3 linked regions of the Saccharomyces cerevisiae S288C genome follow. The protein of the gene in region 3 interacts with the protein of the main gene of each other region in a biochemical or structural test. Each region holds a gene or a part of one and is shown on either strand. Other genes may lie near its edges.

Region 1 (4,402 bases), on a different chromosome or scaffold from region 3:
GTACTCTTCATTGAAAAATTTGTCTTCTACGATATGCTTCCTAGAGCGAGCCTTATGTATCAAATTCATTATTCCCTCTTTGTCATCATTTATCTGTTGGAAATCATCACCCTTTTTCAAAAGCTGCTCGATGGCTATCTTTTCGGATATCTTAGCCTTGGCCTGAAAATCATAGTTGATCCAGTCCCGTAACTCCGGATCATCGGATTCAAAAATGTCGTAATCCTTTGTAAATAGTTTCCATAATGACCCAAGCGTAACGCCTTTTTGACTGATAAAGCTTTTAGTGTGTCTAAACAAATTTGGGACTGTCCAATACAATTCGGGGATGATGATCGTAAATCCATATTTCTTATTAGTTCGGAGCATCTCCAAAAAGGGATCGTAGGTAATATCACAGAAAAACTCAACATCGGGTTCCAATCTCCAATACCATTCGTACTTCTGTACTAGCGGGTGCTTGTAAAATAATCCTGAATAAAACCGGCACATCTTATGATATGATTCTAAGTTTCCGTAAAGTATGCTTCTATCACCTTGATCCTCAATTGCGTTGTAGAACTCGAACGTATCCTTTACGTCACTGGGAAAATTCCAAGATATCTCATCGATAGTGCCAAATTCCACCAGCGCGCCCACTGTAACATCACGTACTTTTGCTTTGAAGTCCTCTTCAAACGGCTGGTCATTTAAGAACACATATGGATAGTGGAACCACTGATTGAAATGCTCTTCTATACTGTTGATAGTCTTGATAACATCTTCTAGCTCCCCGTTCCTTGTTAGCATGACAAACGAGGCATTCTGCTTGATGTACGATGGATTCAACAAATAGTCCTGAGTATTCACACAATTCGAATAAAAGGGTCTGTCCCTCTTCGTCGCAAGATCCATCTTGGAAAACGGAAGAAAATTTCCCATAGTTCCGTCTACGGATGCAGGCTCAGATACAAGTACCACATACATGGTTATGACGAAGGCAATCAGGATGCACGTCGCCGTAAGATTGCAATGGATACATCCCAGAAATGCATTTATCGTCCTTCTTATTAGCAACATCTGCTACCTTATGACGATGTGCCGTATTGAGACACATTTATTGATGACACCTCCATTGAACAAGACTATTTGTGCACGGAAGCACTCATATCTACTACTTCGCATTTTTTTGAAGACCCTTTCTCGAATGCCTGCCCAAATTTTTCAATTTTCTTGGCATCATCCACACACCGCATGCTTAAAGTGTACTATCCAAAAAATGAGAGAAAAAGCAAATACCTAAAAGCACCCCACCTCTTCCATATCCCACGTAATGGCAATTGGCATATATGCTCGGCAAGGGAAATTACTGGTCGTAATATAGTGCAACATGCAACTTGCCAGGCGCACTATAGTCACATCTTATTATGTTAGCAGTTGAGCTCCAGCTTTGACTGCACTTTAGCTTAGTTGCAACTTCGCCCCTCTGTTGGGGGCTGAAAAGTACATCCGCGCATTTAACAATTGCTAAGCTATCTTGAATAACATTATACTAATTAATATCTATAGAAGCAGAATGTCTACTACGTCGAGGACCCTACCCCTGTATTTGTGCCTTGCATGAGCGAGCTATATATCAGCGATACGTTTTTTTGTTTTCCTTTCGACCTTCTTGCCTACCCTCTCACTTTTCCCACCTGAATTTTTTTTATCATATTAGTCCGATATTGAGTTTATAAACCTTGTGAAGTGCTAGATAAAGTACAATCAAAAGAGCAGGCAATAGCCATCACAGCAGTTTAGTACGATTATACACTCTGAACGCGAGTAAAACTAGGTTGTATTTTTAGTCTCGATTGGAAGTTTCGTCAGACAGTACAAGGAAGATGTCATTCAGCAACGGAAATATGGCTTCCTACATGACTAGTAGTAATGGAGAGGAGCAAAGTATAAACAACAAAAACGATATAGACGATAACAGCGCTTACAGACGTAATAATTTCAGGAATAGTAGCAATTCAGGATCACATACGTTCCAATTATCGGACTTGGACTTAGATGTGGATATGAGGATGGATTCCGCCAATTCATCGGAGAAAATATCAAAGAACCTTTCCTCTGGCATCCCGGACTCATTTGATTCTAACGTGAACAGCTTGCTGTCTCCGTCAAGCGGTTCTTATTCTGCAGATTTGAATTACCAAAGTCTATACAAACCAGATCTTCCACAGCAACAGTTACAACAGCAACAGTTACAACAGCAACAGCAACAGCAACAGCAACAACAACAGCAACAGCAGAAGCAAACACCAACTTTAAAAGTCGAACAATCTGATACATTTCAGTGGGACGATATCTTAACACCTGCTGATAATCAACATCGGCCATCCCTCACAAACCAGTTTTTATCTCCAAGATCTAATTACGATGGTACCACTAGGAGCTCGGGCATTGACTCCAATTATAGCGATACAGAATCAAACTATCATACGCCTTATTTGTATCCACAGGACTTAGTTTCTTCACCTGCGATGTCTCACTTAACCGCGAATAACGATGATTTTGACGATCTTTTGAGCGTCGCATCTATGAACTCAAATTATTTACTGCCCGTAAATTCACATGGTTATAAACATATTTCAAACCTTGATGAGTTGGATGACTTGCTATCTTTAACATATTCAGACAATAACCTTTTATCAGCATCAAACAACAGTGATTTCAACAACAGTAATAACGGAATTATTAATACCGCTGACACTCAAAACAGTACCATTGCCATTAATAAAAGTAAAGTCGGTACTAACCAAAAGATGTTATTGACTATTCCAACTTCTTCCACACCTTCTCCTTCCACTCATGCTGCCCCGGTAACACCCATCATTTCTATACAGGAATTCAATGAGGGACACTTCCCAGTTAAAAACGAAGATGACGGAACGTTACAACTAAAAGTTCGGGATAACGAAAGTTATAGCGCTACTAACAATAACAATCTACTTCGTCCAGATGATAATGATTACAACAACGAAGCTCTCAGTGATATTGACCGCTCCTTCGAAGATATCATTAACGGTCGAAAATTGAAACTTAAAAAATCAAGAAGAAGATCTTCTCAAACTTCCAATAATAGTTTCACTAGCAGGAGATCCTCGAGATCAAGAAGCATATCTCCCGATGAAAAAGCTAAATCTATAAGTGCAAATAGGGAAAAGTTATTGGAGATGGCAGATCTTTTACCATCCAGTGAAAATGACAATAATCGGGAGCGCTATGACAATGATAGCAAAACTAGCTATAACACCATTAACAGTAGCAATTTTAATGAGGATAATAATAATAACAATTTGTTAACAAGTAAACCAAAAATTGAATCGGGCATTGTCAATATTAAAAATGAACTAGATGACACTAGCAAAGATCTTGGCATACTTCTAGACATAGATAGCTTGGGCCAATTTGAGCAGAAAGTTGGTTTCAAAAATGATGATAATCACGAAAATAACGATAATGGCACATTTTCTGTTAAGAAAAATGACAATCTAGAAAAACTAGACAGTGTAACAAATAATAGGAAAAATCCTGCGAATTTTGCTTGTGATGTATGTGGTAAGAAGTTTACAAGACCTTATAACTTAAAGTCACACTTAAGAACGCATACAAATGAAAGGCCATTTATTTGTTCTATTTGTGGTAAGGCGTTTGCACGTCAACATGATAGAAAGAGACACGAAGATTTGCATACAGGTAAGAAAAGGTATGTATGCGGTGGTAAGCTGAAGGACGGTAAACCCTGGGGTTGTGGCAAAAAGTTTGCAAGAAGTGATGCTCTTGGTAGGCATTTTAAAACTGAAAGTGGTAGAAGATGCATCACTCCCTTGTACGAAGAAGCCAGACAGGAGAAATCGGGACAAGAGAGTTAATTATTTTTGTTTTTTTAAGCTTTGAATAGGAATTTTTTTTTTCTATATAATAAATATGTAATTTCATAATGACAGTGTAGAAATTATGGCTAATCTAATCCATGCAAAGGTATTATTTGGTTATTGTTTTTGTAATGAAATAGTATAAAACAGTGATATTCTTACGGATTAATAGTTTTTACGCCCGTCTGAATTTTCTAAGCTGCCGAAAATAATGGCAAGTAACAAAAAGTTATTGTATGAGGATGCGTTTTACGTGGCAAAAGTTTTGATGCCAAATAGACAAAAGTAGCTCAATTCAACATGACCTCATCATCTGGTGTTGATAATGAGATTTCCTTAGACAGCCCGATGCCAATTTTCAATGAGAGTTCTACTTTAAAGCCAATTAGGGTTGCGGGTGTAGTAACAACAGGGACAGATCATATCGACCCTAGCGTACTACAGGCATACTTAGATGATACTATTATGAAATCCATTACTTTGGGGCAGCTAGTGAA
Region 2 (3,035 bases), on a different chromosome or scaffold from region 3:
GAGCGTAATCAACCCTATTTTGAACAATTTGAATAATTGTTTCTAATTCGTAGTTTTCAAAATCTATCAGGGTTACTACGACCACTTCAGGTGCATCATTGCTCTTCCGATACACTAATTTACCATGGTCTAAGAACGAGTGCTTCACTAATAGAATTTGATCAGTAGTCTTCTTTTTTTCTTCATCTGTCAAAGCATTCTCTTCTGGTTTCAAAATTAATCTTTTACTGCCATCCACTTCTAGCCTCGTAATATACAGGCCCCTAACGGTCATTTGTTTTAACACAGGCACATGTTCTACATGTGGATAAATCAACCGGCTGGAGGCAGGAATTTCGTTAATATACAGCCCATGGGATGGAGAATATGATGCACCGGCGGAACGAGAAATTGGATAGAAGCGATTGGAGAAGAAATAGAGGATAAAAACAAAGGCCGTTATTATCGACAAAAATTTACAAGTTCCGTACTTGTTCTGCTTGAAACCAAGCCTGTTGAACCACTGCGAACCCACCGATCTTGAGGAGTACGTTTTGCCCTTCGTTCTTGGTTTGATTGCCATTTTAACGAGTCCTAACACAGCTAACACCAACAACAAACCGGCAGGATGATTCCAAGTTGAAAATTGGCTTTCTTCGCATCATTTAGGAGTCGATCAATCCTTCTTAACTGTATCCCATCGTGTGTTTATTATTTTTTTATATCAACTCTTCCTAGTTCAACAATTATCACTTGTAACGAAATATTTGTCATTTATCATTAGACTCTTTTCTGTTTGTATATACACTCTCTAGCGCTACATATCGTTGCCTAAACAGCATCTTCGTCACCGTCACCACCATCTAATAGCTGGTTAATCTCTTCCTGGATCCGCTTCTCGTCTGCGCCGGCTTTCTTCTTATTTTTTGCCAATTCCATTCTTCCTGTCAAAAACTCGTTAATATCGTCCTGTAGCCCCGTCAGCTGCGTGCGCAGCTGGCCTAAGTATGTCAGTTGTGAGCCATCTTTCGTGCGTTCCGGTTCTGAAGGTTTGTCTCTATCGATTTGGCCAGCGTTTAGCACATGGTCACTGGGCCCAGTTGTCCTTCCCTCTGTGGTCATGTATCGAGGGTCATCGCGTATTGGTGCAAAACTTTTTTCCACACCATCTGGTGCACTGTACTGTGCTACCGGTAGTTTCATTGAGATATTAGGATAAGGTTCCAGTGCACTATCGGCTGTATATATTTATTTAGCTCTAACTTGGTTCAGTAAAACTACCAATAATCAGATGGGATATTCTTAAGTTACTCATTACTAGAGATCCGGGTAAAATTTTTGACCTGACAAGGCCGTAACACTGGAAACAGGAAGATCAACAAAGAAACTAAATAAACACCTATCGTAGTTGCTAATATAGAGCTTTAAAAAATCACGCTCTGTGGTGCTAAGACACTATTCTATTGTGCCATCACTAGAGCATTCGCGTTAAGATACTTTCACCAAGATAAACATCGTTATACACGTACGATCTACGTGCGGCTGTAGCGTAATCCCGAATAATACAAATCTTTTGAAGGGATAGATTTCTATATACTTACGAATGTCGACAAGGAGCAAAGGTTGTATTCAGGGCTTAAAATACTAAAATTTGGTGGTCAGTACAGCTCATTAATGGCATCTGTGAACAATTACCAGGTTGATTGCGGGTCAAGGTCTGCTCGCATTCAACCCAGAATTAATAACGGCATTCACGATGAAGAATCGCTATTTGAAGTCCTGGAACTCTCAGAAGAGGAATTTGAGCTAGACTTCCATAGATTAAAGTCATTCAATGATGTAAGGGTTATCAATAACCCAGATTTATCTCCAGAATGTACAAATACTGCCATTAGTCGCGATGAGACACTGGAATCTGCAAGTAGTGCCTTCGAAGTTCCTTCTGACGAAATTGCTATACTGTCGATATCCAGTGACAGCAATAAAAATTCTCCGCCCTCAGAGCAGCCGGCGCCCGCTCTTCGTAACATTCGATCGTCTAGTAACTCTGACCGGATCGATGAGTGGTGTTTGGGCAGCCATTTATTTAATGAGCTGCATCAAAATGTCCCTCAATCAAGCGACGGTGTCAATCATGGATTTCCCGTTTATTCCTTTAAGGAAAGAGAACTTTATACCTCTGCGAAATTAAAGAAACTTACAAATGCCCAAAGAATTGCTGTGCAGAAACTATCAAGAGACTTGTATCCAATTCTAAGAACATGCTACCGCGAGAAAACTCGCCGGCAATTATTGACATACCATCATGAAAGAATATTTGACGATATACCATCTTTTTTCCCCCAGCGTGACTTTATTTTCAATTACTACTCGATGCCTCTTGAATTCGACAGGTTGTCAGACGTAGATATAGATTCGTCATCGCGGTCACGATTTACAGATGAGAGCACTGGAGAAACATTAAACCGTTCACCAAGCGCAGCGTCTTCGTCGTTGGAAAACACATCTTGGTTTGGCTGGACTTTACTTTCTAGGTTTTTGGACAGAGAATGGTAGAAGAAAGTTAGATACCCTCATTCTAAAACGTTGTCCGAACACCATCAGTTAGTTTTTTCTTGGTTTCATTTTTTCATTTTTTTCTAAGATGTATATATATCCGTGCACATATATGCTACATTATATTATACAAGGTCGGATGGCGAGTTATTATTAAATTATTATAGTTAATCACTTCATTAGTTTTTCTCCCCCATAGCTTCTTTGTGTGTGCTCTCCAGATAATTAACATGATTGGTCAAATACTCACACATTGCATCCCATTCTGGGGTATTAACTTTATCGGTAAAATACTTGAATTTAATAACTTGGCTTTTCGGAGTGGTACAGAAGGACCCCCTCATATCATTGAATAAAAACAATTCAAAATCCATTCCATAGCGATGCGGCTTCCTGAAGCCCCGTACTTGTTCGCCATTTGGACCGATAAATCTGTTTTCATGATAAAGAGTCCATGGATCTGCCTTGTAGAAACTGGCATGAATGAACATGATATCCAA
Region 3 (3,978 bases):
TCCATACCGACAATTTTCAACAGTATGTGAGTTAACCTGAGTGAAGCTGCTGTTTGTGCCGGCTGTATATTTGCACAAACTTCCTTGGTATTCCGTCGTTATCGTCTCGTGATTGTTTCCTAATCAGACACTATAAGGCAAGTTAATTATCGAAAATACGAATTGATGCTGTCTTCTCAGAGGCCCTCCTTTAAAACCGTCCAATATTCGTGATTGATCTTCGATCGTTAGCCCTTTATTACATAAAAAAAAAACAAATTGGCCAAGAGGTGCTCCGCTCCCCCTTAATTTCCTTCCCGAAGAAAAAAATGCATAAAAAAAGTGGTTCTTTTAGCTATCATCTTTTTAGGTAAGAAGGCCAGAATTGTATATATTAACTCGATATGGAATTGTGTGTACGTATATGTAAATAATAATAATAATATATATATATATATGTGTGTGTGTATGTCTATATATACATATGTTTATTTTTGTGCGTTTTGAGCAATATATGTTGCTTACAACCAAATTGACTGGCCAGCTGGTTTATCTTGAGGCGGCTGTTGTGGATTAGATCTCATTTGTGGAGGTACAGATGCTTGATTAGTATTAAAATTATTGCTGTTTATTTGTGGGGGATACTGAGTAGCCCTGGTTGTAGCCATCGGAACTTGCTGCTGTTGCTCCTGAGAATCTCTTTGTTGCTGCTGTAGTAACGGTTCAGGATAATAATTTGGTCTTTGGCCATTTGGTTGCTGCTGTAGCTGTTGGGGCTGTGGTTGTGGCTGCGAACTTTGGACCTGCTGCTGCGGCTGCTGTTGTCTCAAGTTTTCCATACCTTTATCTAGTGCGTTCAATAATTCCTCTGGTAAAGAAGAGGCTGCATTATTATTCAAGATAGTTTGTTGTTTGATCTCTTCTGGTGAAGGATTATGTTTGTCTTCATTCTTGTAATAGTGGAAATGGGTGGGGAATTTCTTCATGGCTAACAGTTTAATCTTGTTGAAAGTTTCAGACTTGTTGTCTGTGCTGTTACTTGCACTTGCTGCATTGCTATTTGCGTTCAAATCACCTTTTTCGATGAGGAGGTCCCTTTGCTTCTCCACCATCGCCTTTGTGTAACGCAACATTGTCCAATCGAACAAGTGGTCGTTGTGATACTCTAGTTTAATACTCAGATCTTTAAACAGCCTTGCCAAGAACAAATAATCTGGCTTCTCATCGAATTTCAAATTCTTACAGTAAGCCATATATTCTTGAAACTCTAATGGTAAACCTGAACATAGAGTTTCCACGCTAACGTTTAATTTCTTTTCCATGATACGATCATACTTTTGTTTCTTGGTGGTTGCTTTCAAACCCTGCCATGGCAAAGAACCCTTACAAAAATAGATCAAGACATAACCTAGTGATTCTAAGTCATCTCTTCTACTTTGCTCTATTCCAAGATGCGTATTGACACTTGCATAACGAGCTGTACCTGTCAAGGACTTGTTCTCCCTGTAAGGAATATGACGATGTGTGTTGAAATCTCGGTATTTCTTTGATAGACCGAAATCAATAACATGAACGGTGCTACCACGGCGTCCTACCCCCATTAAAAAGTTGTCTGGTTTGATATCTCTATGAATGAACGACCTTCCATGTATATACTGAATACGGCAAAACATTTGCAAAGCCAGCATGATAACCGTCTTAAAGGAGAACCTTCTGTGACAGTAGTTGAATAAATCTTCCAAAGATGGGCCTAGAAGATCGATGACCATAGCATTATATTCACCCTCTCTGCCAAACCATCTGATGAACGGGATTCCCACACCACCGCTTAAGTATCTGTAGACGCGGGACTCATAGTCCAATTGAGGATGTCTGGACCTGATCGATTCCAGCTTGATGGCTACTTCTTCACCACTAATTAAGTTCGTGCCGTGGTAAATGTCACCAAAGGAACCACTCCCAATCTTCCTGCCAATACGAAATTTCCTTCCTACTCTTAAGTCCATCTCTTTTTAATGTATCCTTTCTATAAATATATCTTTTCTTTTTGGTTTTTTTTTTTGGTCGAATATGTCGTAACTTTTCGACTTTTTTTATCCTTGAAGTCTGGAAATATTTTTCTAAGTACCCAACAGAGGTTTAAAGATGCTACTAAGATGTGTTTTCACCACCAAATGCTTTCCTCGAGTGTCGAACCTTTCTTCTCTTTGTATTTCAACCACGTTCCATATATGTGGTCGTGTTTCAACTTTTTTTCTTCGTCTCCTTTTCCTCGTTGCACCAAAAATTCTCCAGAAAAAAAGAAATTCAAACGTGGGCTGCCTATTAGTAGTAAATACACAGACGGGAAGAAGCGTTGAAACAAAGCGAGAGTTGCAGTAACTCTTCACAGTGGTATATGATTGCCACGAAATAATCGTCGATCCAGTGGTAGTTATTCGTATATAGGAGCCTTTTATAGCAATTAGATGGTATCCATTTTGTGGTACTGTTGCGGGTAATCTGCATCACGTGACTATAACCTCTTTTAATTATATCTCTTTATACGCATGCCGTATCGAGGACAATACCGAATTGGTTTAGATCTTTTAGTATACAATTAAGGGAGATATAAAATTGGTGTTGTTGATGTTACTAGTGTTATTGATAAATAAGAAGTGTAAGATAACAACAAGGACACGAGGATGGTTGAAATTGTGGGCCACAGAGCTTTTAAAGCAAGATATCCTGAAAATACGCTACTAGCATTTGAGAAGGCTTATGCAGCAGGTGCTGATGTAATAGAAACGGATTTACAAATGACCAGCGATGGTATGGTGGTGGTAAACCATGACTCAGACACTGGTCGGATGTGGGATAAGAACTTGGTGATTGGCGAGTCGACTTGGGAGGAGGTTAAGCGATTGCGCTGCAAAGAGGATGGTTCCTTAGCAATGATGACATTGAAGGAAATTCTAACATGGGCAGTGTGCCATCCAGGAGCTAAATTGATGTTGGACATCAAATTTACCAACGAGAAAATCATCATGATCAAGACCTTTGTTATCATGTTAGAGGTTAAGAATGATCTTAAATTTTGGCAGGAGAGGATCACGTGGGGGCTTTGGTTGCTGGATTGGTACGATTTCGGTATTGAAACTGGTGTTCTGAAGGATTTCAAAGTTATTGTGATAAGTCTGTCTTTAGATATCGCCTCGCAATTTGTGAAGCGCTCTTTGACACTGAATGATCCTCACTATAAACTTTTTGGTATCAGCGTCCATTTTGTCTCCTCGTGGACAAGCCAATTTAGATTGAGATTACTACCTGTGCTTATGAAGAATGATATCAAGGTCTATTTATGGACTGTCAACAAACCTATAGATTTCAAATATCTGTGCGAATTGCCTATCCATGGTGCTATCACGGATGATCCGATCAAGGCAAGAAAGTTATGCGATGGTCATACCGTGGCGAAGAAGCCTACTGCTGAAAAAAAGTTTGTTGCGCCCAGTCTGGCATCTGTAGATGGGCTAAGATTCCATGCTTTTATCAAAGTTTATAACATCCTTTGCACGCTTCTATATTCCAAATGGGTCCATATTAAGTTGTGCGGTTGGTCTATTGCTTATGTGATTTTTTTGTTCCTTCGAACCATTCATTTTCTTTGATATCCATTCATTGACGTGAATATTATTCTGAACACTTTCTCTTTTACTTCTATATATATTTATGTTCGTATCAAAATCATGATATTATAAAACAAAATTTTCGAACCCTTTCTCTCCGCGAGATTTGAATAGTGATATTTTGGACTAAATCATAAAAAAAGAAAGAAACGATAATGTTAATAGCCATTCATACTAATTGAACACTTGAATTGTTCTGCTCTTTATTTCGAATAAATATATATATATATATATATATACGTGATATTACTCTTAATATATACCAGTATCTTTTAAGCAGGAATAGGAGGGAGAGGCGTCTCTCTCGTTGTAGTTTCTTGATTTTCCTTAT

What was found. Proteins that work in one complex are often made in the same cells at the same time.
Region 1: of the proteins of HRR25 (region 3) and CRZ1, one has a biochemical effect on the other in vitro, tested with the Saccharomyces cerevisiae proteins (3 studies listed by BioGRID, with this or other methods).
Region 2: of the proteins of HRR25 (region 3) and ATG36, one has a biochemical effect on the other in vitro, tested with the Saccharomyces cerevisiae proteins (3 studies listed by BioGRID).

What each region holds. Positions count from the first base shown.
Region 1 is NC_001146.8:577,715-582,116, forward strand, and holds CRZ1 (DNA-binding transcription factor CRZ1), read left to right. Parts: upstream 1-1,865; coding exon 1,866-3,902; downstream 3,903-4,402. Other genes in the region: KTR5 (putative mannosyltransferase), read right to left, coding at 1-1,059; SAM complex subunit SAM50, read left to right, coding at 4,206-4,402. UniProt on the Saccharomyces cerevisiae protein: Involved in the regulation of calcium ion homeostasis. Binds to the calcineurin-dependent response element. Transcriptionally regulates PMC1, PMR1, PMR2A and FKS2.
Region 2 is NC_001142.9:81,595-84,629, reverse strand, and holds ATG36 (Atg36p), read left to right. Parts: upstream 1-1,653; coding exon 1,654-2,535; downstream 2,536-3,035. Other genes in the region: MNN11 (alpha-1,6-mannosyltransferase), read right to left, coding at 1-562; chromatin DNA-binding EKC/KEOPS complex subunit GON7, read right to left, coding at 811-1,182; alpha-1,2-mannosyltransferase MNN5, read right to left, coding at 2,715-3,035. UniProt on the Saccharomyces cerevisiae protein: Required for autophagic breakdown of peroxisomes, called pexophagy, through linking peroxisomes to the autophagy apparatus. Involved in regulation of the glyoxylate cycle.
Region 3 is NC_001148.4:162,283-166,260, reverse strand, and holds HRR25 (serine/threonine protein kinase HRR25), read right to left. Parts: upstream 1,986-3,978; coding exon 501-1,985; downstream 1-500. Other genes in the region: cAMP-dependent protein kinase catalytic subunit TPK2, read right to left, coding at 1-5; PGC1 (phosphatidylglycerol phospholipase), read left to right, coding at 2,664-3,629; TYW1 (putative tRNA 4-demethylwyosine synthase), read right to left, coding at 3,920-3,978. UniProt on the Saccharomyces cerevisiae protein: Protein kinase which phosphorylates serine and threonine residues. Can use casein as a substrate. Phosphorylates elongator complex member ELP1/IKI3 on 'Ser-1198' and 'Ser-1202' which promotes the tRNA modification function of the complex.